Notamacropus eugenii: one gene and its partners. The protein of the gene in region 1 interacts with the protein of each later gene in a biochemical or structural test. Links are inferred from orthologs where the notes say so. Each region holds a gene or a part of one and is shown in the gene's direction. Other genes may lie near its edges.

Evidence for each region.
Region 2: of the proteins of LNX1 (region 1) and ABCA1, one has a biochemical effect on the other in vitro, tested with the Homo sapiens proteins (2 studies listed by BioGRID and IntAct, with this or other methods). The link is inferred for Notamacropus eugenii from reciprocal best matches to the Homo sapiens genes LNX1 and ABCA1.
Region 3: the proteins of LNX1 (region 1) and GJD2 form a complex in vitro, tested with the Homo sapiens proteins (2 studies listed by BioGRID and IntAct, with this or other methods). The link is inferred for Notamacropus eugenii from reciprocal best matches to the Homo sapiens genes LNX1 and GJD2.
Region 4: of the proteins of LNX1 (region 1) and PBK, one has a biochemical effect on the other in vitro, tested with the Homo sapiens proteins (2 studies listed by BioGRID and IntAct, with this or other methods). The link is inferred for Notamacropus eugenii from reciprocal best matches to the Homo sapiens genes LNX1 and PBK.

The regions. Positions count from the first base shown.
Region 1 is NC_092877.1:105,074,856-105,082,596, reverse strand, and holds the start of LNX1 (E3 ubiquitin-protein ligase LNX), read left to right. Parts: upstream 1-4,735; 5' UTR 4,736-4,865; intron 4,866-4,867; exon of another isoform or gene 4,868-4,951; intron 4,952-7,741.
Region 2 is NC_092872.1:61,855,372-61,863,234, forward strand, and holds the start of ABCA1 (phospholipid-transporting ATPase ABCA1), read left to right. Parts: upstream 1-4,863; 5' UTR 4,864-5,492; intron 5,493-5,576; exon of another isoform or gene 5,577-5,817; intron 5,818-7,863. UniProt on the Homo sapiens protein: Catalyzes the translocation of specific phospholipids from the cytoplasmic to the extracellular/lumenal leaflet of membrane coupled to the hydrolysis of ATP.
Region 3 is NC_092878.1:19,548,178-19,556,123, reverse strand, and holds the start of GJD2 (gap junction delta-2 protein), read left to right. Parts: upstream 1-4,930; 5' UTR 4,931-5,445; coding exon 5,446-5,516; intron 5,517-6,491; coding exon 6,492-7,389; 3' UTR 7,390-7,946. UniProt on the Homo sapiens protein: One gap junction consists of a cluster of closely packed pairs of transmembrane channels, the connexons, through which materials of low MW diffuse from one cell to a neighboring cell.
Region 4 is NC_092872.1:524,127,149-524,134,049, forward strand, and holds the start of PBK (lymphokine-activated killer T-cell-originated protein kinase), read left to right. Parts: upstream 1-3,881; 5' UTR 3,882-4,064; exon of another isoform or gene 4,065-4,265; intron 4,266-6,901. UniProt on the Homo sapiens protein: Phosphorylates MAP kinase p38. Seems to be active only in mitosis. May also play a role in the activation of lymphoid cells.

The DNA.
Region 1 (7,741 bases):
AGTCTTCTGGAATCTTGTGTTTGTTTTAAAACAATTCTCTACTGCACCTGTCTTGTATAATTGTGTCATCATTTTTTGCGTGTCAGCCAATGAGCCCCTACCACTGATTCTCCATGTTTGCTGTTAACAGCTTCAGTCTGTGTGTGTTGAAAGATGGAGATAACTAGAGACACTGATTTCCCTCCACCCCCAACATCCACAGCTAGATTGCCTCCTAGTTCTACTACAGTTCTCTCTCTTTGACTCTAATTTGTTGTCACAGACCCAGTACAAAGGGGCTGCCTCCAGTAATGTACTGCTAAAGGTTTAGTAAACAGTACTCTGAGAAAAAAAAATGTATACATGACATGCTTTTAAGTTTAATTTGATTTATTCACATTTTCTCCATCCCTTTATTATTCTAAACAACCAACAAAACAATAAAATCAAGTCCTGATTTGTAGCATTTGTCAGTTTCTGATATGCTCTCACTGAAGTTCTAATGAGCATGTCCACACTCTTCATGGGGAAATGTATGTATGATAGGTCTTTTCTCAGGTGTCCATATCAAGTAGACTCCCTTGATCAACTTCCTACATGGGTACAGTCTGATTCACTCATTATATTGTCAGTTCTATGAGGGCAGAGTCTGAGTCAGAGATACTAGTGTTTAACACAAGCTGGCAGACAAGTTCTTCTCCCCTCTCAAAGGGAACACCCTTCCAGTAGCAAAAGAAGTGCCTTTGTTTTTGTAATGAGCATTTGTATTCAGCCTTATTATTGCAAAAGAAGGTACTCAACTTTTGAGCCACATTTACAACCTAGTACTTTCTCCTTTCTTTTAGAGGGATTTCTGTTTTCGTTTTCTTTTTTGCAAGTCTCTTCTCTCCCCCACCCCCCACCCCAATATCCATAGCAGTTTCCAAAAGGCAGAAATGAAGAAAGGGGAAATAAATTTTGGTTGGCGGCAAAATGGCCCAATCTTCATTTGGGAATCTTCTTAAGCGTCTAACTTTCCTGAAAGAGTTTGCAGGCTAGGTCAGTCTGGGCTTGGAATTTTGTCCACCCCAGGGAAAGTTCCTTACTGATAAAATCATGGGTACTAATCAACAAACAAACAAACAAACAAGTAAGTGAAAGTTAAATATCCCGCAGGCATTTAAAGTTTAGATTTGCCCCAGTGTCCTGGACCAGAACTATCCCTCCCCCAATAGTCATTCAGTATGCTCCAGCATGATCTGGATGATCCCAAGCCAGATTGGATTTCAGTTTTAAGGTGGCAAAGTTTAAGGTACAGTCAAGAAGGGCTTTTAATAGTCCTCATAGATATCTCTCTCTCTCTGATATGAAGCACCGTGCCTTGCCTATGGGATCAAAGACTGCCTTGCCTATGAGATCAAAGACTTTTGAAGCAAGAAAAGACCTTAAGAAGTTTTCTGTTCATTTTACAGATCCATCTTTTTGCATTCCCCCAGCTGCTAAATGCTCCCTACACCTCTGGAAATTATCTTGTATACTTAATACGTAGAAATATCTATGTACATATATCTATTCCTATTTATACATGTTTTATCCAATAGAATGTAAGGCAGAAACTTAATTTTTTTTATCCCTAGTGCCTAGTTTGTCTTCAAGTTTTAAAGAAAGGGCTTAATTATAGGGAAACCTAGAGCTCTTAGTGATCAAGTGACCTGCTCAAGGTCACAAAGGTAATGAGTGACAGAGCAAGAATTCAAACCTAGGTTTTCTTACTCAAAATCCAGTAGTACTGTTTCCAGTCCTTCCTTGTTATTCTGTCAGTGATCAATCGTGTCTAACTCTTCATGACCCCATTTGGGGTTTTTCTTGGCAAAGATGCTGCAGTGGTTTGCCATTTCCTTTTCCAGATCATTTTACAGATGAGGAAACTGAGGCAACCAGGATTAAGTGACTTGCCCAGGGTCACACAGCTAGTAAGTATATGGGGCTGGATTTGAACTCAGGAAGATGAGTCTTCCTCACTCCAGGTCTGGTGCTCTATCCACTGTACTTGCCTAGCTGTCTTCCATTTTCCTCACATTAGAGATGGGGCAGCTGGTAGTACGGTGTATAAAGTGTTGGCTCTGGAGCCAGGAAGAGCTAAGTTCAAATCCTACTTCAGACATTTTCTAGCTGAGTGACCCTGGGCAAGTCATTTCACCTCTACCTCCATTTCTTCATCTGTTACATGGAGATAATAGCACTTATCTCCTAGAGTTGTTGCAAGGATGAAGTGAGGCACCTTCAATGTTATATAAATGGTAGTTATTATTATTTATTATTACTGTTAATAATAATATAGTAATAATAAATTAAGGTTCAGAGAGGCAGAGACTTATTCAAGCTTACAGATCCAGGGTACTTTGGCACTCTAGCACAGTCATAATGCCTTCCTACTGTCTAAGGGCACTATGAGGGTCTGAGATGAGAAGGAAACACCTGCCCCATTTAACTCAGAATTGGCATAAAAATAAGATTAGGTAATGTCTACTAATAGCAACTCACATTTGAATAGCACTTTACATTTTCCAGAAAGCTTTCTTCACAACTCTGTGAGGCAGGTGGTATATGTATCTGCATTCCAGTTTTACAGGTAAAGAAATAGAGACTCAGTTTAAGTGACTCCCTAGTAAGTCACAAAACTAATAAATGTTAGAACCAGAGTCTCAAAAACAGGCTTTTAGATGCCAAGTTCGATGGATGCCTTTTCCATTATGTCAGGTACTTACTCTATTTGTTCTATTGAATTGGTTATCATATCGACACCCAAAGTCTCACCTTTTGAAAGGCAGCTGTAGTGGGTAAAGAGATGGTCTCAGTGGCAGGGAGGGCTCTCTCGTTGCTCTAGGCAGCTGTTGGATAGTTACAGAGAAGGTGCCCATATGCATGGGAAAAGGCAATTTTTCTGCTGGGAAGTTCCCAATACTGATGAAATCATACATCCAGTCCAAAAAAAAATGACGCCTTTTAAAATGAGCATTTGCATAAGGGGAAGTACGAGGGAAGGGAGAAAGAAGAAATACTTGAGAATTCTAGCACCTTTATCCCCAAGAGGGCAAAAGCAATTTTTAGAACCACTGTGTTGCAAGGAACCCCCTAAAATTATCTAGGCCATTCTTGAAAGAAAAATAGGCTGCCCTATTTTTCAAGGCCTCCAGGGCAGGAGATTCCACAGTTTCCCCAGGTGGTACATTCCAGTGCATAGTCTAAATTGTTCAAGGATCCTGGAAAGAGGCCACAAAAATATAAAATATTAAAATTCAATTATGAATGAATGAATAAATCCTTGTTTACCACACTCCCTCACATTTGCTCTTTAATATTCTCGTAATAGCCCATTTTGTCATGAGGTAAGTGGCATTACCCTTATTTTTCCTGGTGGAAAAAAGGCTGAATGGCATACAGCCCAGGGTCATACAATAAGCTAGGAATAGAAATAACTTCTGACTCCTCCTTCCTGTCTCTAACTAGCAGGCAAAGTAGCCTTATTAATAGCATTCTAATCTGAATCATTTAAATTACTTGTAATTGCAGGCCTACAAAGAATTGTAACTGCCCCGTGCCAGCTGAGCAAGCTGTAATGGGCATGACTACTGTTACAAACGTCTAAGTCTGTCATTGGAACACAAAAAATGCATTTTCAAAGTTGGAACATCTCATTTGAAAATAGCAGCCCATCCTCCTGGTTAAGAGTGTGGTGCAGGGTCACCCTCCCTCCAAAACAAAACAAAAAATTGGATTTTGAGTCAGAAGACGTGGGTTTGAATTCAAGTTCTGCCAGCTGTCAACTCTAATCCTCAGAGCCTCAGTTTCCTTCCCTGAAAACAAGGAGGGAGGACTACAGGATTTCTTAAAGTTCTTTTCAGCCCTAACATTCTGAGTGAAGTATGAATGAGGTCCAACAAAATTAATTCATTTAACAACACTTTCATGTCTACAATGTGCTGGGCACAGTATGTATGATATTTAAATAAAAAATCAAACAACCCCTGCCCCAGAGGAACTTATACTCTAGTAAAGAAAACAATATGTGCACAGATAAGTTGGTTATAAAACTTATACAAGTAAACACAAAGGTTTTTGGGGTTTTTTAAAGTTTTTATTATTCTATTAGAGATAGATTTCTGGAAAAGAGCAAATGATATCCATTCAAAAAAGCTATTGAATTTCATGGGGTCCTAGAAGTAGAGCAGGAAGATCATTCAGTCCCTCCCTTCCCCATATTTTACAAAAGAGGAACTTAGTCCCAGAGGTTAAGTGACTGGCACCAAGGTCACTTGGCAGGGAGCAGATTTTGGATTTGAACTCGGGTCTTTTGACTGCCTCTTCAGCTAGCTCTCTACACTACTTCAGTTTCTACGCAACCGATCTTCACGTGTGCTTGGGTTAAATCAAGTAAGTTCCTATCACGTTTGGGTGTTTAAATTTCTCGTTTAACTCTTCAGCAGTCAACAGAGCTGTTAACAGAGTTAGGGAGCTGTGTCGTGATGAAAACAACCCAGGAGCAGGCAGGTTGGGTTGTGACTTAAAAAAGAAAGTAAATACCTGACTGCAAATGACTCTAACTGAATAATTCGCACCTGGCTGCAGGTATTCAGGTAAATGACAGGTACGGAGGAATTTACTGACTGGTTCCCTCACTAAGGTCGAAGCCACGAAGATTATCTTTTCAGGGTTCTGTGTGATGTCACACATTTCCTGCTCCAGGCCAACCAATACCATTCATTCTTCCTCCCCGCAGACACCTGCAGAAGGAAGGCAAATGCGGTGTCAGGACGGACCCGACGGAGTTTGATTGACTTACGTGCTAGGGATGCGTGTGCTCTGCCAGACTGTGGCCAGCTTCAAAAACCCTAACACCTGGAAAGGTGAGTTGAAACGCCCATTTTCTCTCTGGATAGTTAGACCACTGGTCACATTGTTCCGAACAGGAAACAGGAAAGAAATTGGCCGAGTGAGTACAACTTTAGTTTTTTCTCAGGAGAGGGGAGCTCCTTCTGGGAGAGAAGTTGGATGCCTAATGGATCTTCTGGTTAAAGCCACATGGCTAACTAATGCTGCCTTTTGAAACAATTAATTCAGCCTCTTCCTTTCTGGGATATTGATTTTTTTTTCCTTCCCTTCCCCCCATAAAACGGAACTGCCTAGGTGAGAGGAGTTGACAGGTATTTGTAATTGGATTTGGAATTGTAGCTTTCTTTAATCTGTAGTGTTAATTTCAATGGGGAGAGGGTAAGTTTTCATTATGCTAATTTCAGGGTGGGGGAGGGGAGACTTTTATAATGCTAATTTCAGTTGTGAGGTGGGGACTGCAGGGCACTCTTAGAATCTGGTCAACTCCCTCTGCATTTAACTTTTTGCTTTTATCGCAGTTCATTTCTACCTGAAATTGTAAAAAATTGTTTTTTTCCTTAAAAGTATTTTCAAAGCACCTCTTGTTTGCCCACTCAATACTTCCTAAGATTGTAAGTTCAGTTTTTCCTTATGTCCCCTCCAGCCCACCCACATCGCAATATTCCTGATCCCTAAACTTTTTTTGAAGAAGGCAAATATTTGATCTTTGTCCTCAATTGTACAATCTGTTGTCACAGGGAGACTGGGATCTGGATTAGAATATTTTATACTTAGCCATGTGTTTACTAAACTTTTAGCTCAGGTAAAATGGATTATCCTTTCTGAGCTTCACAAATGGGGTACAAAGGTTTTTTCTCCCTCTGTGCTACCCACCCCCCTTGCTTTTAACAGCAAATAAACTGTTTAGTAGGTTGTTCTGCCAGGACCTTCCTTACTTTTTTTCCCCTCCTAAATGTAACTTTAGCTCTGGGACCCATTTTTTTTTTGTTTCCTTAATAAAGATCTCACAGCTAGTACACCCTGCAGCCTCACCCTCAGTGTGCCAACTTACACTGGAGGCATTTAGATGGGGGGTGAGGGGGAGAAGAATCTGTGGCGTGCAAGCCACACACAATACTGGGGAGCCAGGGCCTGGCTGTGGGAAATCCAGGCAGAGAAGCAGCACTGTGAGGTGCAACGTTCCAAACTCCTACATCAGCTGTTTTGCTGAGACAAGTTAGCAAAAAAAAAAAAAAAAAGTTTGTAAGGAAGTGATCTGTTAGCAATTATGCTGATAGTCATCCACCCCAAAAGTCAAAGTGCACATTCATTCTCCAAAAGTAGAAATGGAAACAATCTGGGGAAGTTTGTTTCGGACAGAGTAACCTCTCACTGAGCCAAACTAGTCCTGCTGTGGCTGCCAATTCCTCTTACTCCTTGGAGACCACTATTGTTCTCCTCTCTGACCTTTCTGTCCTTTTTTTCTGAGCTCATGTGCTTGGCCGGTGGCTACTGCCTTTGCCTTATTAGAACTGGGATCCAACACAATATCTACCCAAGATGTAACGCATGTGAAAAATGATAAAACCTCTCTTAAGTGGGATTATCTTCCTCCAGTTAACTGTGGTTCAGTAGTACCTTGCTCAATAGTTCACTTCTTTTTTAAGCACTAATATTTGAGCCTTAGTCAAATAATTTTATTTCTTCATCTCTCCTTCTCTCCTCTCCTTCTCTCCGTCTCCCTCTCTGTTTGTCTCTTTCTGTCTGTCTCTTTCTCTGTGCTTGTAGGTATGTATGTATATTAAAGAGGGCAAGTCTATAAGCAAACGTATAATGGGGGAGAAAAGGAATTGTGAGTAGGGAGAGAGAAGGAAAAAGGGGGACAAAGGATAGAATCATAGATTTAGAGTGAAACCTTTCATGCTATCTAGTCTGATGCCCTTATTTTACAGATGAAGAAACTAAGGCCCAGAGATTTGAAGTAACCTGCTGAAGGTCACAAAGATTCAGAGAGAGAGGGAGAGGAAAGATGGAAGTGGGGGTGGGGGAATAAAGTCAGTGCTCAGTGATTGGGATTCAGGGTAAAACATTCTATTCTAGAATGGAGCCAAGGTCATGGTTCAGTGGCTCACTGGGGTAATCTGTACTTTTTTTTTTAGTAGATTGAGGCTTTGCTAAGAGATGGCCATTTAAGGAGTCCAATTTTATTTAAAGTTTCCCTGGGCTACCTGAGGAACTTCATCTAAAGGACTATTGGGAACACAGATTTTAATAATCATGATAGTAATTGTTATTATAAATTGTGAATTATTAAATTCATCATTGATAATTCCCATAAAACCTAACAAAAGAAAGGAGTGAAGCAGAAGCAAGGCTTTTGAATTTCCTCCATAAAGGAGGTTGAGCTGATTGCCACCAAGTCTCCAGCAGAAGGAAGGAACTGCTGTGCCCTGTCTGCTCTGTCCCACCTGCTACCCCCCTTCCCCCCTCTCCTTCCACCCACCCTAGAGAGCAGCAAATGCAGGGCATCCCACAAACCACTGGGCAAATGCTCCATTGTTGTCTGGAGTAATGTGATGGTGACAGAGTTTTTCAGTACAGTTCAACAAAGGTTTCTTAAGTGCCTACCTGGCTGTGAATATTAATCCCAGGAAGATCTCCTATCAAGGGGTTGATATATCTACAAAACTGAAAAATGGCCCTTTCCCTGCCTCACTGGGAACTTCCATTCTACTGAGGGTGGAAAAAATAACATGCAAAAAGCAAACAAGATTGAGTATATCTGACAGAAGAAATTCAGATAAAGTATTATTCTAAGGAAATGTGAGGATCAGAGACCACTTTCAGTTTGGTGGGGCAGGGAAGGCAAATGGGATCAGCCATGCTCTTTCTTGGTCATAGATCTAAAGCT
Region 2 (7,863 bases), on another chromosome or scaffold:
CTGCACCTGAGAACCTAGAAGGCCACATGTGTCCTTGAGGCTGCAGATTCCCCATCCCTGATATAGGTAATCCCTCTAATGGTACAGATAGCAGGCCTCTACTGTCTTTTTTCAACTTGGACAATTTCTTCTTCACTTTCTTCTCTGGTCACTTCAATTTCCCCAAGACATATAAGTACCTGGAGCCTCAGTGTCCTTGCTTTCCCATGTCTTATAGACATAGAAATTGAGAGGTAGCTATTTTAATCATAGGAAGCAGTCAAATTATAACATATACACTAGAAATGATTCTTCCAGGAAGTCAGACTGAAAGCCTCAGTCATCTTCGACCCTTTCTTATCCTTTACTCTTTGTCTGGGCAAAGATTTGGTGCCTGTGGTTCATGAATTCTGCACTTTTCAGGGCAGGACTTGGGTAGAATTATGAAGTAGGTGAAATTTGTCTTTGGAACATTCGTCTTTTCTTCATTTTTCCCTACCTCTGTATCCCTTCCCCAGACCCCTTCCTCCCTAAAGCCCCAACCAACTTACCCTAAGTTATTTATGTACACCATAGAGCCTTACCCTCAGCTATTCAGATGGTTGATCAAACACCAAGATATTTCTCTGGACAAGTTGATCAAAATGCTTTCCGGAACTAAAATAATAAATCTTTCAGTAGTGGAATTTCAGGATTTAAGACAAGTGGGAGGCAGAGGCAACATGTGGGGTTTGTAGGATCTTAGATTTAACACTGGAAGGGACAGTTCTTAGAGGTCATTCAATCCAATCCTCTCATTTTACAGATGAGAAAACTTCCCAAAGTCACATGGTTAATTACCAATAGAGGTAGGCTTTAAACCCAGGTCCTTTGATTCTGAATCTATTGTGCCAAGTTTTCATTGGCTCTGATCATGTTTCCACCACTCACTACCTATGTGACCATGTTCAATCACAACTTCTCTGAGGTTCAATTATCTCATTTTCAAAATTGAGAGGGAATAGGTTAGATGATAATAACTTGTATTTATATATAATGTTTTATGATTTACAAAGTGTGTTCTTCACAACAAATTAGAATTTTAAAATTATTAAGTCCCCACTATGTGTGGGTACCAGGGACACAAAAATGAAAAATTACATTGTCCTTACCCTCAAGGAGTTTACAATATCATAGAGTTAGTGGTGACATGTATATATGGTAACTATAAGAGAGTGCAGTATAATGGCAAATATATTGGACTTGTCATCCTAGGTTTGATCTAGATTTGAAACTTGGCTCTGCTCTTTATTGTCTGTATAACCCTTAGTCAAGTCACTTAGCCTCTATTGGTCTGTTTCTTTTTCTGTAAAATGAGTGGGTTAGACCAGTTGACTTCTAAGGTTACTTCAGGTTCTAAACCTTTGATCATGTGTGATAAGTGTATAAGAAAGGTCAACTAGAAATGGATGAGAGATTGGAGAGACAGGTACCGATTTTCACCAGAAGCACTGGACAAGCCTCCTCCCTCCTTGATAAAATGGAATCTGAACTGGATCTTGAATGAAGGGAAATATGTCCAAATCACACAGAATCCACTCTAGTCATGGAGTATGTATGATGTAAATGCACAGTTTGGAGAAAGCAGGATCAGTTTAGGGAATAGCCAGTGCATCAATTTGTCTGGAATATGTATATATGAAGGAGAGCGTAGTGAAATAATGCCATATTGCAGGGGGCCTTGAATGTCAGAAGTGGGAATTGGTATTACTTTGTAGGAAATGATGAAGTGCTCAATGTTACTGACTTGGACCAGACTGGTGCATTAGGAAGCTTGTTTTGGAAGCTCCGTAAAAGACAGATTGGAAAGATAAAGGCCTAGGAGCAAGGGCAAAAGTAGGGAGACAATAGATGACAAGGGCCTGAACTGGAATGTGACACTTGGAGTATAAAGGAGGGGAGGGATAAAAGATATTGTAGGAACAGAATAAAAGAACTTGGCAATGCAGGAGATTGAGGGAATGAGGGAGAAGGAAGAGCCAAACCTGGCCCTGAGGTTTTGAGCATGGGTGATCTAACCAGTCATGGGGCCATCAATAAGAATGGAAATTAGAGGAGGAAGGACAGGTTTTTTGGGGAGTGTAGCACTAAGCACCCCACCATATACAGGGGGACCTGCTATCACAGGTTCTTAGATTTGCATTCACAAAGGGAAATGCAACTTTTGAGGGTTTAACAATTACTTTAATTGTGATTAATAATAATAAAAGTGATTAATAATCACTTTAATTAAGCACAGGTATCAGAAAAAATCAAAGTCAATATTTCAGAGAAGTCAAAAATCAACAGATAGCGCTTCCAAACTGCCTGACCACTAACATACATACATCTTAACCAGACAGGGAAGCATCAATATCTGGGTTTTCAAAAAAGCTGGGGAGGGGTTGCTTAGTGGCTTCCCAGAGTCTCATCTGGCACATAGACCTTCTTCCAAAAACTAAGCCTCTCAAAGTAAAACCTCATCCTCTGAGTATTTATAACCCTCTGACCTTGGGCAGTTAGGTGGTGCAGTAGATAGAGCACTAGTGCAGGAGTCAGGAGGACCTGAGTTCAAATCTCACCTCAGACACTTTAACACTCACCAGCTGTGTGACCTTGGGCAAGTCACTTAACCCCAATTGCCTCATCCTGAGTCATCTCCAGTCATCCTGATGAATATCTGGTCACTGGATTCAGATGGCTCTGGAGGAGAAGTGAGGCTGGTGACCTGCACAGCCCTCTTTTCACTCAAAACAAAGTCAAGTGCAAGTCATGTTATCATCTCTCTGATGGCATGGTCTTCTCTAGCAATGAAGGATGAACACACACAACCCTCTGACCCAGTGCCTCAATAGAAAAAACAAAAGGTACTTGGGACCTTCCTACACAACAACTCCCCTAATCAAGGTCCCCTCAAAAGATGGGAGAGATCCTCCCCAATCACATTATTCAATCAGAGGTACTTTTAATAAAACAAAAACAGCAAAAGATTCTATTTTACTTGCCAGTACAGGGAGGAATTATAACAATAACTGGCAGGGGTGTGAAGTGCTTTGCACATTATTTCATTGGAGCCCCACAACAATGCTGTGAGGAAAACACTATTATCTGTCCTCCTCTTAGAGATGAAGAAACCTAGGCTGAGTGAGGTTAAGGTGACTTGCTTAGTGTCACATGGCTAAGTAATGTGTGACGTAGGATTTAAACTGAGGTGTCCTTGATTCCAACTTCAACACTTGATCTGCTGCACCACCTCATTGCCTACTTCAGTTTCAGACAAGCTGAAGTGTTAGAACTCAGGTCCTCCTGACTCCAGGACCCATGCTCTATCCGCTGCACCACCTAGCTGCCCCTGACACTAGTAACTTTAAATTATATGTGTGTGTGTAGGTATGTGTGTTTGTGTATATACATATATGTATATATACCCCCATACCTACACACGCTATATACACAGGCACACATATATGTGTAGGTATATACAGACACATTTATGTACAAATGCACACATTGTGTATATATTTATATATGTACACACATATGTATATATACACACGTATATACATATATTTCCAATTACATGTCAGAACAATTTTTAACATTTATTTTTTAAAGTTTTGAGTTCCAAATTTGCTCTCTCCCTCTCTTCTTTCCCTTCTCACTGAGAAACCTGTCATTAGTAACTTTGAGAAAAGAAGCTGGCTCCTGGATTGTAGCCCTGATCATTTTACTCCCAAACCAGGGTGATTTTCACACATACTCAATTTCCTCTGACATGATCTCTATCATCCCTTCAAGCCCAACACTCAGGCTATTTAAGGCAAGACCCGGCCAACTCTATTTACTCATAAAACTAGACCAGCTCTGCCTGCTCAGATGTAGCAAAACTTCATAAATTTTTGTTGGCTTTCGGTTTTTAAATGCAATGTATGGGAAAACATCCTATCAGAGCAACACTGCTTTATGGGCCATGGCTGCCAACCAACCATATAATAGTACCTTCTCTGTTTATAGAGCCTTTCTTCTGAGAGGCTCAAAGTGTTTCAACAAATGTTTTATTCATTTTCATAACATGCCTGTGAGGCAGGTAGGGGATAGATATTACTATTAGCTACAGTTTACAGATGAAGAAAATAAGGCAGAAAACTCCTAAGTAATTTGCCCAGGGTCACAGAGTTAAAACAAATGCATATGTGAGACTAGAACTCAGATCTGCGGACGTAATGTTTGTTCAGAAAAGGGTTTGGCTGGGCAGAGTTATAATGTAATTACCAAGCCTAGGGACTGGTTCTCTATGAATCATCTATACAACGCAAAAAGAGCATGTTGACAATATGTTTTGTTTGTCATTGTGTACAGAGAATAAAGATTATTTTCTAAACTGGACGCTGGCCCCAAGTGTGTGTGTGTGGAGTCTCTCAGGAATTCAACCACACAAACCCTTCCTCCCCTCTCCCACACAGGAGGATGTCCTGAGTGCTTGTTGAGGGGGGAAAGGGGGAGAAGACAGAGCAAGTGGGTCTCTCACTTGCACTAGCAGACTCTGACGTAGTATCGCCCTCTGGGCAAAGGGGCAGGATTCGAGGAAGGGGTTGAAGGGGGAGGAGAAAGTCTTTAATTACACCCTTGACTTTAAGAGTTAAGTCGTTCGGGTTGGAGAAAATGAGAGAAAGCGCCCTCCACCCTCAAGGTCTGTCTCTAGCCTGGGTCCCCAAGCACAGAAAACGAAACTAGGATCAAAAAAGGGGAGGGCAGGGGGGGGCTTGTCAAGCAGTTTGCTCCCACTCAAGCCCCCGCCCCCCAGAGGAAGGGGAGAAAGTGGGCTTCTTCCTTGCTTCTCTCCTTTACTTCTAAGTGGCTTGGTTTTTCCAGATACTTTGGAGCTTGAGAGGATTATCTGAAACGTCGGGCTGTCTGGACTGCAGACGGGAGCACGAAGCGCAGGCCATTGTACAGCGAGGGCTTTTCTGGAAGTGATCCTGGGCAGACTCCCTCCTGGAGACCTGCCTCAGTTCATCCCATCCACCACTCAGCGGCTAGGGAGAGGAGGGGAGGCGGGGGAAGGGGTTGGGGGAGAGCGGGTCTCCTGCCTGTCGCCCTTTTAAGGGGCGTGTCGCTCCTCCACGTGCTTTCGGTGAGTGACTGAACTACATAAACAGAGAGCCGGGAAGTAGGGGGTGGGGAAGAGAAAGAGAACAGAGTTTGACCGATAATAACCCCGCTGTTGAGCGCAGCCGAATCTATAAAAGGAACTAGTCCAGGCTAAAAAACCCTTAATTCTGGGAGAGAGGGACTGAGGACCGTGTGCTAAGCAGAGAAGCGGGAGCCCGTTGCTGCCCGCAGGAAAGCTAAAGCAGAGCTTGGCACTAAAGGGTTATCGGGGGCGAGAGCCCATTTTTTGGCTCTCTCTCTATTTTTAAATTTTTGCTTTGTTTTGCACAAATATTTCCAAAGGCTCAGGGGAGAGAGTGGCAGAAACAAAAGCGGGAAAGCAGGTAAGAGCTCTCCAACAAGTTAAGATTTTGCTGTGTGTGTGTGTGTGTGTGTGTGTGTGTGTGTGTGTGTAGGGGGGGTCCCCTTTTTTCTTTCGGAAGAGGAAAAGTCTGATTTTTGTGATTTGTTCTTACTGTTGGGTGGAGGGGAGGACCCCCACATCTGCCTGCCTTCTCTCGCCTCTGGGCAGGGTTTCTGTGCTTTGGGAGCATGAAAACAATTCCCCCTTCTCCATTTCGTCATCACTCTCTTCTCGGGACGAGGTCGGGAGGCTTGTCTCCTCCTGAGAGAAAGACGAGCATCCCTTGGGATCCGCGGGGACCAAGGGTACGGGGCCCCTTTCTTTGTCCATCCTGCCGACCGCGAGGCTGAGTCCGGGGAAAGTGGGGTGGGAGAAGGACGTTAAAGGGGAGCACGCGAACCACTTTTGGGGGGAGACCTGCGGGAGCGGAATTCAGAGTTTTTGTGGACCGAAGGGAGGACGAGCAGTACCTGGTGCAGCAGGAACTCCCTCGCCTTTGTTGAGGGATACAGGACTCTTCCCGAACCCCCTTTTTGGTTTTCTGGTTCGTGCGCTTTTTTAGCTGGGAGACGGTTCCTTCGCTTGCTCCTCTGGGCAACCCACAAGAAAGGCATCGAGCTGTGTTCTTGCTGATTACTTGTAACTGACAAAGCTTTTCTTGTGTAACCCGGGACGTTCCTTAAACAGTTTAACCCCTTCTCATGGCTTTGATCATTCTGTCCCCCCCCGCCCCGCTCCAATTTTCAGCATAGTTCTAATAATTTCTAATTAACATTTGTGTGGTTCTGCTAATAGATCTTACCTGGTGAACATATGCATATTTTTCAAAAGTGGGGGGAGATGGTGGATTAATGTAATCTGTGGTGCGATTCTGTTTTACCTCCTTGACTCCAGCCCACCCCCTACCCCCCAATTTTGGTCTTTGCTGCTTGTCTCTGTGTGGAGACGGCGGCGCAGCTAGAATGACCGAGAGTAACCCCGGGCCGGCTGCGCAGAACACCGAGCTCTGCCACATAGCGTGGGGAGGGCGGGGGCGCGCAGCAGCACCCCCCCCCCCCAAGCCTTTTCTCCCCACCCCTTTACTTCCTCCCCTTGCTTCTCTCCCCCTCCTCTTGGGCTAAAGAATCCAGACCTCCTTGTTGGGGGTGGGGATTCCATCTGGAGTGGTGGGTGGGTGGGTGGGTGGGGGGATGTGGGTGGGGGGGAAAGTGGGGGTGCTTGAAGAGGTCCCATCTAAGTGCCACTAGGACCGACAGACTCTTAGAGACAACTTGAGGATTGGGGCAGACAGCGGGTCTGGGCTGTAGATGCAAAGTTCTGTGTTTCCTTTCTGATCTAGACTGAGTCAGCCATGGATTGGGAAACTGTGCTGGCGCAGACTAGGAGGAAGCTTTAGAAAGCCCCCTTTTTTGTTGATTTTCGTGATTGTTCTCCGCCGCCAACCATCCTTGGCTAGATCTTGGAAGTTTCCCGGAGGTGGAAGTCCACAGCTCTGGGCGCTTTCATTGTCTTTTGACTCCCTCCTTTGGGGACTTAGCAGAAATGAAACAGACTCTGGACCACAGTAACCTGGTTACTGTTCCTTTTCAGCACTGAGATAATCAGGTTTTAGAAGAAGGCAAGTGATACTTTTGAAGGATACTTCGAAAAGCGAGCACAGGCCTGAGACTGAGTTCATTGTTTTATTCTTGTGACACCCTATGGAGATCTGGGTCTTGACCGGCAAACAAAATAATTATAACTTTAGCAACTCACAATTCATTAATTATTAAAATGGAACCAAATGAAATCACAGCTGTAATAGCTTTTTTCTCACCTTTTGGCAATAACACCGGGTAGAGGGTGAGTTTGCTCTCTCCACCCCAGATTCCCAACAAAACAAAACAGCCACTTTCTTACGGGACAAATTGGGCAGTTTCCACTGTGTGGAACAATTGAAATGAAAATGCGAAACAAAAAAAAGGTACTTAACTCATTTTATTTCAAATTTTATTTTTCCTTGCTGAACTTAACAACTCCAAATAAAGGTACATTTACATATCCGTAGTAGAACAGGAAGACTTGTACCTGAAACTTAAAATCTTTTATGTATATACAGTTTGCTTTTAATAATAATAAAAATTAGCTTTTACATAGTGCTTTAAGGCTTGCAAAGTGCCTTACATATATTTGATCCTCACTACATTTGGGTGAATTAAGTGCTATTATTAATATTTTATTTTATAGAATGGCTGATTCTGAATTCAAACTTAGACCTACGGACTCTGTCCAACATTATATCCACCGTAGCCACCTGTAATAATTAAGTCAATATGTAGCATTCAAAGCTGTCCTGCTTGTTTGATATGCCT
Region 3 (7,946 bases), on another chromosome or scaffold:
ATTATATTTTAATAAGATGGTGGGCTCCTGACCAGGGATGGAGTAACCTAACAGAGGCTATTATGAATATATTTTCCTGAAGTCTTGAAAATCTAAACAGAAAGACTTTATACTGGAAAAACTGTTTACATTTATCTACCACACAAGGTATCATAGAGTAAGTAAAATATGGGAAGCATTTTTCCCCACAAAAAAAGACAAGATTGACAAGAGAGACATTGAAAAGATCATAGGAGGCAAGAGAGTGTATATGCTATGTTGAAAAGAGATAAGGTAAGCAAAAAGGGGCAGGAAAGTTAGAATGGCATTGTATACTCTGAAGTAATGTCAAGGCTTCCAATGGCTTATGTGGTCAGCCATTGGTTATGCCTCACTATCAATATGTGATCAGCCCATCTTTTGTTATCACGTATTTTTTTGATTGTACATGTTGCAACATTTCTTCTGTATGCTTGTTTTTCATAATATGCTATAGCCAGCTCACAACTCCCATTTGCCTTTCCACTGCTCTTTGGGTGATCTTAGCTTCGATTCTTTGGAGACTGTAGTGTTCAATAACTCACAGCTATATGGCAATACCAGAAGAATATTGGTGTTAAAATGATGTCTTTGTTTTGGATAGAATCAAGGCATTAGTAAGAGAACATGACAATTTTCCAAAGACCTGCTCTGCTCCTGTTCAATCCTGGACTTAGCTCATTGTCTATTTGAAGTGTCTGTCCAAGATAGGTATACTAATGGACAAACTCCAAAGCTTGCCAATCTAACTACATAGCAGACTAAGATACTGCAGTATGAGCAGAGTTTTAAACTGAAGATGAGAATGACCATTACATTGTTGTGAAGAGTCCTAAACTTAAGACCTGGCTTCAAATCCTCCTATAGACTCTTATTAGCTCTATGACTTTCAGCAAACTATTTAACCTCTCTGGACTTCAGATTCCTACTCTACAAAATGAAGAAGTTGGACCTGTACTACTGAGGTGTTTTTCTATTCTAAATTTTGTTGAGGTGCTTTTCTATACTAAATTCATTATCCTAGGAAGGACAAGGAAGGACATAGACCACAGTTGCCATAGAACACTATAAATTAATATCTTTGCAAACTTTATGTGTGGTGGGATACAAATTGTTGGCTTATGTAAACACAGTTGACTTCATGTCATATCAGATGAGTGGTCTTGGAAACTAAAATTCTCTGCATGTATAAATAGAGATATATATCTTTTTAATAGTCTATGGGAAGTAATCGATAGAGAGCTAGTCTTGAAATCAGGATGAGTTGAGTTCCTGTCCTTTTTCTGACATATACCTTTTGTGGGATCATGGAGAAGTTAGTCTATCTCAGCCCCTAGGATGATAAGTTACAGATGAGTATCTGATTTATATCAAGGGAGGGAGTTTCTACATTGAGAAGATTCCCTGATGAAACCACAAACTGAGACAAAATGAATGTTCTTAGGACCACATTCAAATACATGAAATGATAACTACATATATTTATATAATGATCAATGTATCATGCATTACATTCTAACACTCTCAGTCACAACCAGATAAAAATATTACCACTACTTTTACTTCAGGTTATCCTTGATTTATTTTTCTTTACCTTTTTTTACCTACTTGTTCCCATTTACTGAAATCCCTTTCATCAAAACATACTCCAAACAGGAGAACCAGAGAACAGGGATAAAATGGGAAAAGAGAATGTTGGAGAATCTTTCTAGGAGTCTTAGTTGAAGAAGCACAAGAATCACAACATTGTAGAATTGGAAGGAACCCTGGCAGCAATCCCACTATCACATACCCAACAAATGTTCACTGAACAAAGCTTTACTGAAGACTTCCAGTGAAGGCAAAACCAATGAGACAACCTGTTCCAATTTTGAACAGCTTTAATTGTGGAGAAATTTTTCCTGACATCAACCCTAAATTTGCTTCTATGAAATTTCTGTGAAATTGTCCTTGATTCTAATCTCTGGGTCCATATAATTCTTCTTCCACATGACAGTCCTTCAAATGCATGAAATCAGCTATTATGTTCTCTACCTCACCCTCCTCCACCTCCAAATCTTCCTTTATCCAGGGTAAATACATTGCATTCCTCTGATTGATTCTTACGTTACCTACACTCCAAGCCTTCCAGCACCCTGGTTGTCCTTCTCTAAGGGCTCTCCAACTTACCAATATCTTTACTAAACAGTTGCATCCAGAGCTAATTGAACGCAATACTCATCTGTGGTTTGACCAGCAAGAATATAGAGGAACTGTTCAGAGCTAGTGTGGTACAGTGGAAAGGACAGGGAATCACAGAGTTAGTGAGCCTGAATGTGAATCTTGGCTCCATTGCCTGTGTGACCAGTCACTTTGACTTTCTGGGACTTGATTTCCTTATTCTTGAAATAATAGGGTTGGACTTGATAACCTCTAAGGTACCTTCCAACTTTAAATTGATGGCGCTATGATCTCCTCATTACTAGAGGCTACGCCTCTTTTAATGTAACCCAAGATTACATAAGCTCTTTTGGTTGCCATATTACACTATTCACACATATAGAGCTTGTGGTCCACCAAAATCCCCAGGTCTTTTTTTAGGCAAATTGCTATCTTGGAATGTTTCTCCCACGCTAAACTTCTGATTTATTTGAATTCAAGAATGAATCATTGTATTTGTCCCTATTGAATTTCATCTGATTATATTTAAACCACTCCTCTAGCCTATGAAGGTCTTTCTGAGTCTTAATTTTTCTTTGTAATATTACCAACTTTGTGTTAGCTGCATATTCAATAAATATGCTATCTCTGCCTTTAATTAATGATAAAAACGTTGTTAAATAGCACAAAACCAAACACAGATTCCCGAGACACTTCCCTGGACACCTTCTACTAAGCTGATCCAACTATTAGCCATTAATCTTTGAATGCGGCCAATCAACGAGTCTCTGATTCATATAACTGAATTATCATGTGATCATATATCTCCATTTTCCTACAATAGAATGGGACATTTTTTAAAATGCTTTGTAAAAAATCCACATAAACTATATTTGCAGCATTCTCCTGAGTTAATACTTTAGTAATCCTGTCAAAAGTGGAAATAAGGTTAGTCTGACATGATCTGTTTTTGACGAAGTCATTCTAGCTCTTTGCAGTCATTATTTCCTCTTCACCAACACATTTGATGCCTTAAAGTGAGAATCAAAACACATCAAGTCCTTCAACAGTCATCAGGAGCAGGGTTTTATTAAAGCCCCATTTTGTCAGAGACAAAAGAAGTAAAAGATCAGTGAAGGATATCCACTCTAACTTCATAATCATCACTTGATGTTTCATTTACATCTTCCCTATTCTAGTTCTACTTTATTTTCTTGTGTGAACTGCTGTGAAAGTGCTCTTACGTTATCAAATATTAAACAACAATAGTAGCTAACTCTGGGGAGAACAGAAAAAATGAAGCTCCCTAGGTTTTGAAATGATTTTTCCTTTTGCCTGAAGTCATGTACAAATAAAACCTTTTTCTATACTGAGTCTATGCTTCAGAATTGTCATTATCTCAAAAGTCTGAGATTGTTACCTAAAACAAAGTTCAGGGTCTGCTGCAACTAAAAGACTCGTAATTCTTTCTTCTCTGTGTGGTTTAAGCCACACATGTATGTGATCTCCCATATAGATGGAAACAATTCTGAGAGCATTATGCTTCTAAGAAGAAATGCTGACACATTCACAAGGCTTCTTTTAAGAGTAGGAACACCAAGCATTTTCTTTTCTTATGCTGGTGGAAAATACTCCAAAACTTTGAAAACTATCAATATCTTCAAATGTCTAGCCTTAAGCTAACGAGCATCCTGGTGTGAAAGAATTCCTAGCCGCTAATTGAACATTTTACAGAGGCAGATCTGGCAACCCAAAGCAAATAGGGGCTCAGAAATTAAGCTGGGCTTATTTGGGAAGGCAGTGGGTGTGCAAAAAGAGAAAGAAGCAAGTAGGAGTGATGCTATATGTCCGGTTTAGACAAAGTTTGTGCCTATCCTTGTCCAAATTAGGAGGGTGGTTATGCACAATCTGTCAGAAGTGGTTCTGTTCCTTAGCTCTCCTATTAACATAAATAAGGGGGCGTCCACATACAATCACTGCACTGTACATACGTTAGTACCCATTCAGATAGACATATGCATATACATAAGTGGACACATACTTCTCTCGCCATAGACATACACACAGGCCCGTTCACAGCTACGTTCACTGTCCCCCTAAGGGTATTCGCACCTATGTCGCCAAATCTCCACAGGCCCACGGAGCCCCTTATTTCCAGCCCTGTTCACAGACAGCGATTACCTGCATCCTTGCTAGAGCTTTTAAATCAGCCCCATTCGTGCGTCTTTCGAGGGGAAATCCCAACTCTGAGCCCCCTGTGCGTACACTAGATGAAAGGAGAAAAATGGGGCTGAATACTAATGAATGGTTGAGAAGAAAAGACACAGTTGCCCTCATCCCTTCACTCATGGCCCCAAGCTCCTCACCTCCCATTCCCATCTTCTCCCTGGCTACAGGCGTAGTCTGGCGGGCAGGTGAGCTCCCGGTGCTACCTGGGCGGGCAGGGAGGGAATGCTTTGAGCCGCTTAGCGAGGAGGAAGCTGCAGTTGGCCAGTTAGGGAAGCTGAGATGGTTCCTCCCTACTCCCTGCCCCCTCCCCCCTCGCTCAATTGGGACACCCAAGACTCAGCCTCCTCCCTCTCTCCCACCCTTCTCCTGCCTTTCCACAAGTCCCCAGCCCCTCGGGCTTGGGAGCGCAGCTACAACACGCCGGCGCTCACTCCCCTCCACCAACCTGGAGTGACGCAAGCAGAGACTACTTAAGGGAGGATTAGAGGCGGCAAGACGCGGATTCCCAGTCTGCTCCCTCTGTGCATTCAGGGTCGCGATCCCGGCCCGGCCTCGGAGGCGGGAAGTAAGGCACCAGCCTGCACTGTTTGAGGCTGCAAGACAAGGGTCGGGCTGCCCTGGGACACAGAGACAAGGCAGGGACCTTGGTTCCCCCCCAACCCACCCGACTGGGAAACAGGAGCAAGAGATCTCTTTCCAGCTAGCAGCAGCCTAGTGACCAGTACATTCTCCCAGTCGCCCCCACCCCCTGCCTGGACGAAGCCACACAGGGAATCTTCCCCAGGCTGGACAGCAACTGACCGGTTGGTGCCCTAGTCCCTGGACAGCACCAGCTGCTACCCCATTTCTCTGGACTCGCTTGGATTTCCCCCCTCTCTTTTAAGTGAAAAAAAGAAAAAGAAAAAAGGGAGGGAGGGGGAAGAGTAGTGGATTAGGTTTATTTTGCTCTTATTTTTGGTCTTTAGCCCCCGTTGTCGGGTGGTGACTGGGGAGGGGGCCAGGAGCAGGGACGTGCCCAGCGCTGCCCAGTCTTTGTCTGCTGCCTCCGAATGCACAGCGATGGGGGAATGGACCATCTTAGAGAGGCTGCTGGAAGCCGCCGTACAGCAACATTCCACTATGATTGGGAGGTAAGGGAGCCAAGCCGCGCTGGACCAGAGCCTCACAGCGTCCACCCCTTCCCATGGCCCCCTTTCCTCACCGATTCGAGTCCTCTTTCGCGCCCCTTCCCCTCCCCCGTCTTTCCCTCCCTCTTGCCTGGGCCCATGGGTTCTGGATATGGCGGGACCATCCCAAGCCCAGAACTGCCCCTCTCTCTTCCAGTTATTTCCTTCTCTCCCCGGGATCTTCCTGAAAGTTGATCTCTTGCTGGGAGGCCCCTTCCATGGGGTAACTCTTCCCCCATCAGAACCGGAACTCTGGGCACAGGTTGTTGGGTCCCCTAGTGCTCCGAGTCAGAGCTGATCTCCCTTCTGTTTCCTAAATAGAAGCTGGAAGGGAGTATGGTGTTTGGAGAGAGAAGGGCGAAGAGGGAGATGGAGTCATCCTTTGAGGCTGAAGCTTCTTTCCTCGATTTATTCAAGAAAGCTTATAGTGTGAGAAACACACACATACACCAGGATTATTTTTGTGTGTTTATACATATAAATAGACTATTTTAAATATAACATTAGGGATAATATTTACATAGAGAATGAACATTTATGGAGTCCATTCACACGATACATATCCCTAGTTTGCATTTGATGTAATTGTGTGTCTATGCCATATACATAATGAATATATATGTATTATGTAGAGATGCATTATGTATAGATGTATCTGAATCTCTTGCATATACACACGTCTCCAAAATATTTGCGTATATACTCGGGACCTCTGAAACGGAGGTGTACAAATCCCAGATGGTCAGAAAGCTGAAAGCATAATTGCTCTCAGATTCTTAGTTCAGGACCACTGAATGGTGGACAGCTCCTCAGCCAAAGCACCAGGGAAACACCAGGGATGGGATGGGAGGAGCAGGGGATCCCTAAGCCAGCAGCAGGCCACTGAGTGACTCTCAGCCCATGACATTCTTTCTTTCTCCCTCCCTACTTCCCTCCCAGGATCCTGCTGACAGTGGTGGTGATCTTCCGGATCCTCATCGTGGCCATAGTGGGTGAGACTGTGTATGATGATGAGCAGACCATGTTTGTGTGCAATACCCTGCAGCCAGGCTGCAACCAAGCCTGCTATGACCGAGCCTTCCCCATCTCTCATATCCGCTACTGGGTCTTCCAGATCATCATGGTGTGCACCCCTAGCCTCTGCTTCATCACTTACTCAGTGCATCAGTCTGCCAAACAGAGGGAACGCCGTTACTCTACTGTCTTCCTCGCCCTGGACAGGGACCCTCCTGAATCGATTGGGGGTCCTGGAGGGGCTGGGGGTGGGGGCAGTGGTGGGGGAAAGCGAGAAGACAATAAGAAGCTTCAAAATGCCATTGTAAATGGAGTACTACAGAACACAGAGAATACTAGCAAGGAGAACGAGCCAGACTGTCTAGAGGTGAAGGAGTTGGCCCCACACCCATCAGGGTTGCGCACAGCAGCACGCTCCAAGCTCCGTCGGCAAGAGGGCATCTCCCGCTTCTACATCATCCAGGTGGTTTTCCGTAATGCCCTAGAAATTGGGTTCCTGGTAGGCCAATACTTCCTTTATGGCTTCAGTGTCCCTGGACTGTATGAATGTGACCGCTACCCCTGTATCAAGGAGGTAGAGTGCTATGTTTCCCGGCCCACAGAGAAGACAGTCTTCCTCGTATTCATGTTTGCTGTGAGTGGCATCTGTGTTGTCCTCAATCTGGCTGAACTCAACCACCTGGGCTGGCGCAAGATTAAGCTGGCTGTGCGTGGTGCACAGGCCAAGAGGAAGTCTGTCTATGAGATCCGCAACAAGGACCTGCCTCGGGTCAGTGTTCCCAATTTTGGCAGGACTCAATCAAGTGACTCTGCCTATGTGTGAAAGGATAGATGGGGTGGGGAGGACTTGGGGAGATAGCAAGTAGCTTCACTCTCTCCATCCAAAAGTGGGATAGGGCTGCTTGCAGAGAAACTTTTAGACCATGGCCTCAAGAAGGGGAAAAGAACTCCAATCCAGTAGAAACACGGGCAAATGATACACCATTGACTCTATAGAGTCAGCTGGGTAAAGAAAAGGCTTCATGTGGAAATGGGCCCTCTTTACCCCATGGGTTGGTATGACCTGACTAGAAACGGACACAAAAGGTTACTGGTTAGGATCACATTGAGCTTTGGCTGAGCCCGGGACATTGGTGAATGGTGGGAGTGAAATACTTTCTTGGTATAAAAATTGTGATCAACCTCCTCAGTTTATCCCCTCTTCCTGGAAAACAGGACAGGCATCTCTAAAGTGCTCCTCTTCTCCACCAGCAAGCCCCTCCCCAACACCCTGGGACAGCTTGCCAGCTTTTTCTATGTATGACCTTACAGCATACCTATTATGGCTTTCTTACCAGTCAACTAGAGGGAATTGTTTGGGGTGTGCTGTTAGGACTGGCT
Region 4 (6,901 bases), on another chromosome or scaffold:
AAATTTACAAGAATACAAATCATTCCTCAACTGATAAATGGTCAAAGGATATGGACAGGCAGTTTTCAGAGGAAGAAATTAAAGCTATCTGTATTTACATGAAAAAATGCTCTAATTCACTATTGATTAGAGAGATACAAATCAAAACAACTCTGAGGTACCTCGTCACACCTATCAGATTGGCTAACATGACAAAACAGGAAAATGATAAATGTTGGAGATGTGGAAAACTGGAACACTAATTCATAGCTGGTGGAGCTATGAACTGATCCAACCATTATGGAGAGCAATATGTCCAAAGGGCTATAAAAATGTGCATACTTTTTGACCCAATAATACTACTTCTAGAATTGTATCCCAAAGAGATCATAAAAATGGGAAAAGGACCTACATGTACAAAAGTATTTATAGCAGCTCTTTTAGTGGTGGCCAAGAACTAGAAATTGAAGGAATGGCTAAACAAGCTGTGGTATATGAATGTAATGGAATACTATTGTGCTATAAGAAATGATGAAAAGACAGACTTCAGAAAAACCTTGAAAGATTTACGTGAACTGATGCTGAGTGAAGTAAACAGAACTTGAAGAACATTGTACACAGTAACAGCCATAGTGTTCAATGACTGATTTTGATAGGCTTAGCCCTACTCAGCAATGCAAGGACCTAAAATATTTCCAAAGGATTCATGATGGAAAATGCCACCCACATCCAGAGAAAGAACTATGGAGTCAGAGTGCAGAATGAAGCAGACTATTTTTTTCTTTTTCTCTTTCTCATGGTTTCTCCTGTTCATTATAATTCTTCTATGAAACATGACTAATGTGAAAATGCGTTTAATAGGAATGTATGTGTAGAGCCCATATCAGATTGCATGCCATTTTGGTGTTAGAAATAACCAAGAATTCTACAAGGCTATGAGGGAATTTAGAAAAAAAAAAGAGTTTTACTTCACATTTAAAAGACAGATGACTTGGCCTTCAAGCTGGTGTAAGAACACATAATGCAAGTTATGTAAGTCTTTATAATTCATCCAGACTTGAATTTTTGCCTTGAACCCCATTGATCAACATTCCAGGGTTCACTAAACCCTACCTCTTGATTACATCTTCATTTACTTTATTCTTTAAAGGAATACTCTTAGTCCCTTCCCCTTTTGTCTACATCAGATAGCATGATTAAAGAGCTTTCAATTGCTAAGAGAACTGACAAAAGTGTGAGTTCGAAGATTCCAGGATATCAATAAAAAAAGATGGTGATGGGGTGCTTGGGTGCCTGTGCTTGGATCCCAATTCTAAAATCACATTTCTCTCTAAAATCACATTTCTCCCTAGCCTCAAAACACTATCCCAGGCAGTTTTCCCCAGCCCAAGTACAGCCTGCCATAGATCTTTCTTCCTAATATAGCAGCCAGCAGCACCTATAGGATTTATTAGTTTGAACCAACTGTGTACTGGCTGAACTGGCTGTGTACTGGTTCATAAAGATATTTACTATTCACTGACCAATCATATGTATCCTAGACTTAGAAATGTGTATACTTCCTTAAGTTTATCTGCTCTAACAAGATATTGATGGGAGCAGCCTGAGTATTTCTCAAGTCAACCCTGGCCATTAGTTGACTTAGTGACATTTTAGGCCTAAAACCACACCCATGTAAGCCCTCTTTGGGCTATTTCTGATGAACTCTGGGTAAAATATCTGTGCAGTAGATACTAAAAGTGCATGTTCTTTTAAGAACTAACCACTCCTTAATCACTCCCTAATCCCACCCTGAATCACCTAGTTAGCAATTTTGGCACATACTTCACTATAGAATATTCTATATAAACTTTAATTGTACCCCTCTAAGGTTGTAGGTTCCCTGAGAACTCTTGCCTGCTGAAAAGTGTAATAAATCTTTACCACTTTGACCTCAAGAATGATTGAGTCCATGAATTCTTTCAGGATGGCCCACCCAAGGACTTCCAGTCTTTGGGTTCCTGTACCTTTTCAACGCTCATTAGTGGGTTTATGGCTCTCATTCTTATCCTCTGTGGATGAGAGCTGGCCTGGCAGTTGTTTTTGGTATGCAGGGAGAGGCCTTTTCAGAACAAAGAAAAGTACATTAGAACCTCAGTTTTCAAGTAACCTGTTTTGCTGAACAAGGAAAAATTTTTCACAAAATTTGTCTTGCAGGACAAACAAAAATTCGCAGTACAAACATCATGTTTGGACTTGAGTAGCTTGAGAAGGGAGGACACTCAACTAGGGCAATTTTTTTTTTTTAACTCATATAAGATTTGCATGCTGTCATGGGGAGGGAGCGGAGAGAGGATGGGAGAAAATTTCAAACTTATGGAAGTGATTGTTGAAAACTGAAAACAAATTAATCAAAAAAATGTCAGACAAGTGTTGTTAGATAGATTCCTAGTCAGAAGCGAATGTAAAAAAAAACAATCAGTAAGTCAAAACATGAAAGTGATTCTAAACAATGCAAAATAAGTGAAGGCAGTAGTGTTAGTCTTACTTTTAGTGAAAGTAACATAAGAGAAAACACTTCCCAGGTTGAAATCTCTGATGTTCTCATAGGAGATCCTTCTACCAAGCAATAACCCTTCCTCCTCCTCCTCCTCCCTCTTCTCTCTCTCATACCAGCCATGACTGTTCTCAAAAGTAAAGTGTAGGTTAATTTATTTCATTTTCAGTTTATATTGTATACTAATCATTGCTATTGTATTTTGGGTCCATTAGGGACAAAAAACTTAAAACTGTAAAGAATTATTTTTACATGAATATGTTTGGGGATGTGATACCAGTCATCTGACTTTACATTATTTTCTAAGGGAAAATTTGCTTTGCAATACAAACAAATCACACGATGAACAGAATCTCAGAATGAATTAAATTCATAAACTGAGGTTTTTCTGTAGTAGATACGCTGATTTCCAGGACTAGCATTCCCCACCCACCACCTTATACAAGCAATTTTTTCTCTGACATTAACCATCAATATGAATTATAATTTTATTTAATTTTTGTGGAAACAAAATTTAATCACACCTTGCATTGGAGAGAGAAGGGGGAGGAATGGGGAGAAAATTTAAAACTTCTGAAAGTGAATGTTGAAAACTAAAATTAAATAAATAAGTTGAAAAAAAGGAAGTTAAAAAAGTCTAAATTGCTTTCAGTAAAGGGTGATACTAAATAAAGTTTTAAAAAAGAGAAAAATGGACAGATAGATGATGAGATAGGTTGATGTAAGGAAAATAGGGACAAAGAGAGATGATGGAGAGCTGATAATCACTCACATATCCAGAGATAATAGATTGTATACGTAAATGGAAGATAGTTCATGAATAGATACATGTAGGATAAAGACGGATGGATGGATAAAGAGATAATAGATGATAGATAACAGAATGCTCTTTAGGTAACTATAGGTAGATAAATAGATACATATGGATAAATGGATGAGCGATGATAAGGAGCACAATGCTCCTTAGGTAGATACAAAGGGATGCCTAGGTCCGTCAATCAATCATAATCAATAAACGTTATGAAGTAGCTACAATGTGAACGGCGCCGTGCTAAGCTCCTAGAATGAAGACAAAAAAAGCAAAAAGTGTTTCTGCCTCCATGGAGAAGAAATACAGACTAAGCGGGCTGCGCACAGGCCAGATAGGAGGTGCTCCAGTAGGGGTTAGGGAAGGTGGGCAGAAGGTGGGATCTCCGCCAGGAAGGTGAGGGGAAGAGGGGCAGAGACAGCCGGAGAGATCGGGAGAGACGATAGAGCAGGATCTACAGGTGGACTGCAGATAGAACAGATGATATGTGAATATGTCTGTGTGTACAAACAAGAACTCCAACATGATAATGAACCGTAATCAATGGGGAGGGGAAGAGGCAGAGAAAGCGAAGGAGCGAGGCGGGCAGGGAACGCGTTCCCACGCAGCTTGTCCCTCTGTCCGCCCCGTAGGCCGCAGCGCGCGGGTTTGAAGGCGGCGGGCGTTCGAATCTCAACGGCTTCGGTGGAGTCTGCGCGCGGAGGCGGGTCCGGGCGCCCCCGCTGATCCGTACCTGCTCAGGTGAGTCTGCGAGCCGCGGGAGGAGGGTGGCCGGGGCTTGCTTGTCTCCGCCGGACCCCTCCCACTTTCTGGGGAGTCCCAGCCCCCTTCCCTCGGCTGTGTGGAGACTGAAGCCCCGGGCTCGCCCCGCTGGGGCGGCCGAGCTGGTACTCGAACCCGGGGCCTCCGGAGCCGGGTGACTGCGGTCACCGTCGGAGTAAAGTGCGTTTGTGGTAGCCGAACGGGTAATGAGTGACTTGAAATGAATAAGACAAGGATAAGCATTCCCGCATGGGATCGGCCCACAAGCTCTAGGGGCCCTCGGTTATTTTGTTGAAGAACGTAAAGGGGTCCTGAGACCGGGAGGATGGAGAAGCGCGGCTGGAGAGAGGGGCGTCCTGGCTTCTGGGGTCCGGGCCGGGGGCCCCCGAAGCCGCTTCCAGCCTGACATTCGCTCTGCGAGCCTGCCGTCCCTTTCCTGTGGTCTCACAGCCATTCTTTTTCCTCCTGCTTTTTTCTTTCCTTCTTTCCTGTAGGGTTTTAGAGGAGAGAGAGGTACATAGAGAAACAGAAGAAGTGTAGAGAGACCCCCAGAGAGAAACAGAGACCGACAAAGAGAGAAAGAAACAGATACAGTAACTTATAGAGAGACAGAAGTATAGAAAGAGAAACAGATCGAGAGAGAGAGAAAAAATAGAAAGTATCAGAAATAAAGAGAAACACAGAAACAAAGACAGAGAGAGAAAATGTTATATTCCTTTTGTAGGAAATTGATGAGTCTCTGGCACTCTAGGAGGGTGGGAAATGTGATTTCAGCAGTGTACACATTCACTCCATCCACTGATGCAGATCAATGGGCTTTATAGCATTAAAGAAGTTAAGGCTCTCTCTACACTATACCCTATGATATAGTTTGTGTCTTTATAAGACTATTTTAGAATCTGGCTGGGGAATGAATGAGTAAAAGAGCATTTATTAAGTGCTTACTGTGTGCCAGGCACTATGCTAAATTCTGTAAATACAAAGGCAGTCAATGAGAATTGATTAAAACACTAGAAGGATCAGGCATGACAACTGATGCAACAAAATTTATTATTTTAATTTGAAATAAAATATTTCATTCTATCTCTACTTTTTCTTTCCTCTTGTGTATTTTTTAAAAAATGTACTTTGTTAATTGACTGACTGCAGCCTGGTCCTGTAAGGTATTTTTAAATTCTGGTCCTTTTATTAAGCACTTATTATGTGCCAGGCACTGTACTAAGCCTCAAGGATACAAATAACTTGCAAAAAAAAAAAAAAAAAAGAAGACAGTCCCTACCCTCAAATTGCTAACATCCTAAGGAGGGAAGATAATACATAAGCAGGGAACTAACAAGTTGGGATTGGGGAGAGAAGGTAGCAGAACAGGGACATGGTGGCAAAGTCCCTAGAATGATGGCTGGTCTGGGCCCTCCCTCAAAATGGAATTTCCAGGAAGAGCTCAGTGGAAGAGATTCATAGAGAGCCCCTTCATGGTGGTAAAGTTCACTTAGGTACTGCCTGCTCTCTACAAGGTGGGAGAGAATATATTTTGGTGTCTAGGGAAGGCACTTTTCATCTGAGGAGTCACTGGGATGCTGAATTGATCAACAAGCCTTTGCCAAGGGTCTACTGTGTGCCCGGAAATGCTGAGCATTGGAGATGAAAGTTAAAAGTAAAAAGGTCCCTGCCTTTAAAGAACTTATATTTTAGCCAGGGCAGAAGACGTCCATATGTGTGTATATACGTTTGGGAGTAAGGTGAGGGTGATCAAGGCAAAAATCTCTGAAAAAGGTAGCACTTGAGCAGAACCTTGAAGGAAACCAGGTCCAGGCATGGGGAATGGCCAATGCAAAGGCACAGCGATGGGGGATGAAACAATAGTTTGTGAAGATCAGAAAGAAGACAAGTTCAGTTGTACTAGTGCATATGAAAGGGAATAAAATATAATAAAACTGAGAAGTGTTTGAGGCCAAATTATGAAGGGCTCTCAATGACAAAGATTTTATATCTGATTCTAGATGTAGTCAGCCAGTAAACATTAAGTATATACTATATTTATTGAGTGTAGGTGGGAAGTGGTGACCACAACATTGGTCAGACTACTTTAGGAAGATCATTTCAGCAGCTCTGTGGTAGATGAATTGTAGTGAGGAAAGACTTGAAGCAGGGAAGCCAACCAGAAAGTTGTTGCAAAAGTCCCAGAGTATCTTTAGGTGATAGGGACCTGTACTATCATGGCAGCTGTGTGAGTAGAGAAAAGAGAATGTATATAAAAGTTGTTAGACTTGGCAGCAAATTGGCTAAGTGGAGTGAGTATGTGGGGAAACGATGACACCATTTGTAAGTTTGGATGACTGGAGGATGGTGCTGCCTTCCCAAGAAATAGGGAAGTTCAGAGTAAGATTTGTGGGCAGAAAAGATAATGTGGACATGTTGAGCTTAAAGAGTCTACAAGACATCAATTTCCAGGTGTCCAGTAGGCAGCTGGCGATGGAACACTGGAGGTTAGTTAGAATTGGACAGATAGATATGAGAATCACCTGCATAGAGACTGTCACTGAATCCATGGGAGCAAATGAGATCACCAAGCAATATAGCAGAAAGGGAAAAGAGCAGGGGGCCAAGGAAAGAGCCTGGGAGGAAACCGATGATTCGTGGCTGTGAGCTGGATGAAAATACCAAAAAGACTTAAGGAACAGTCAAGTCAGCAAGCATTCATTAAATACTTACTATGTGCTCCAGGGGTGGGGATGCTGCAACCTCAAGGCCATTTGTGGCCCTTCCACAGAATCCAAACTTCACAGAATAAATTCCCTTAATAAAAAGATTTGTTC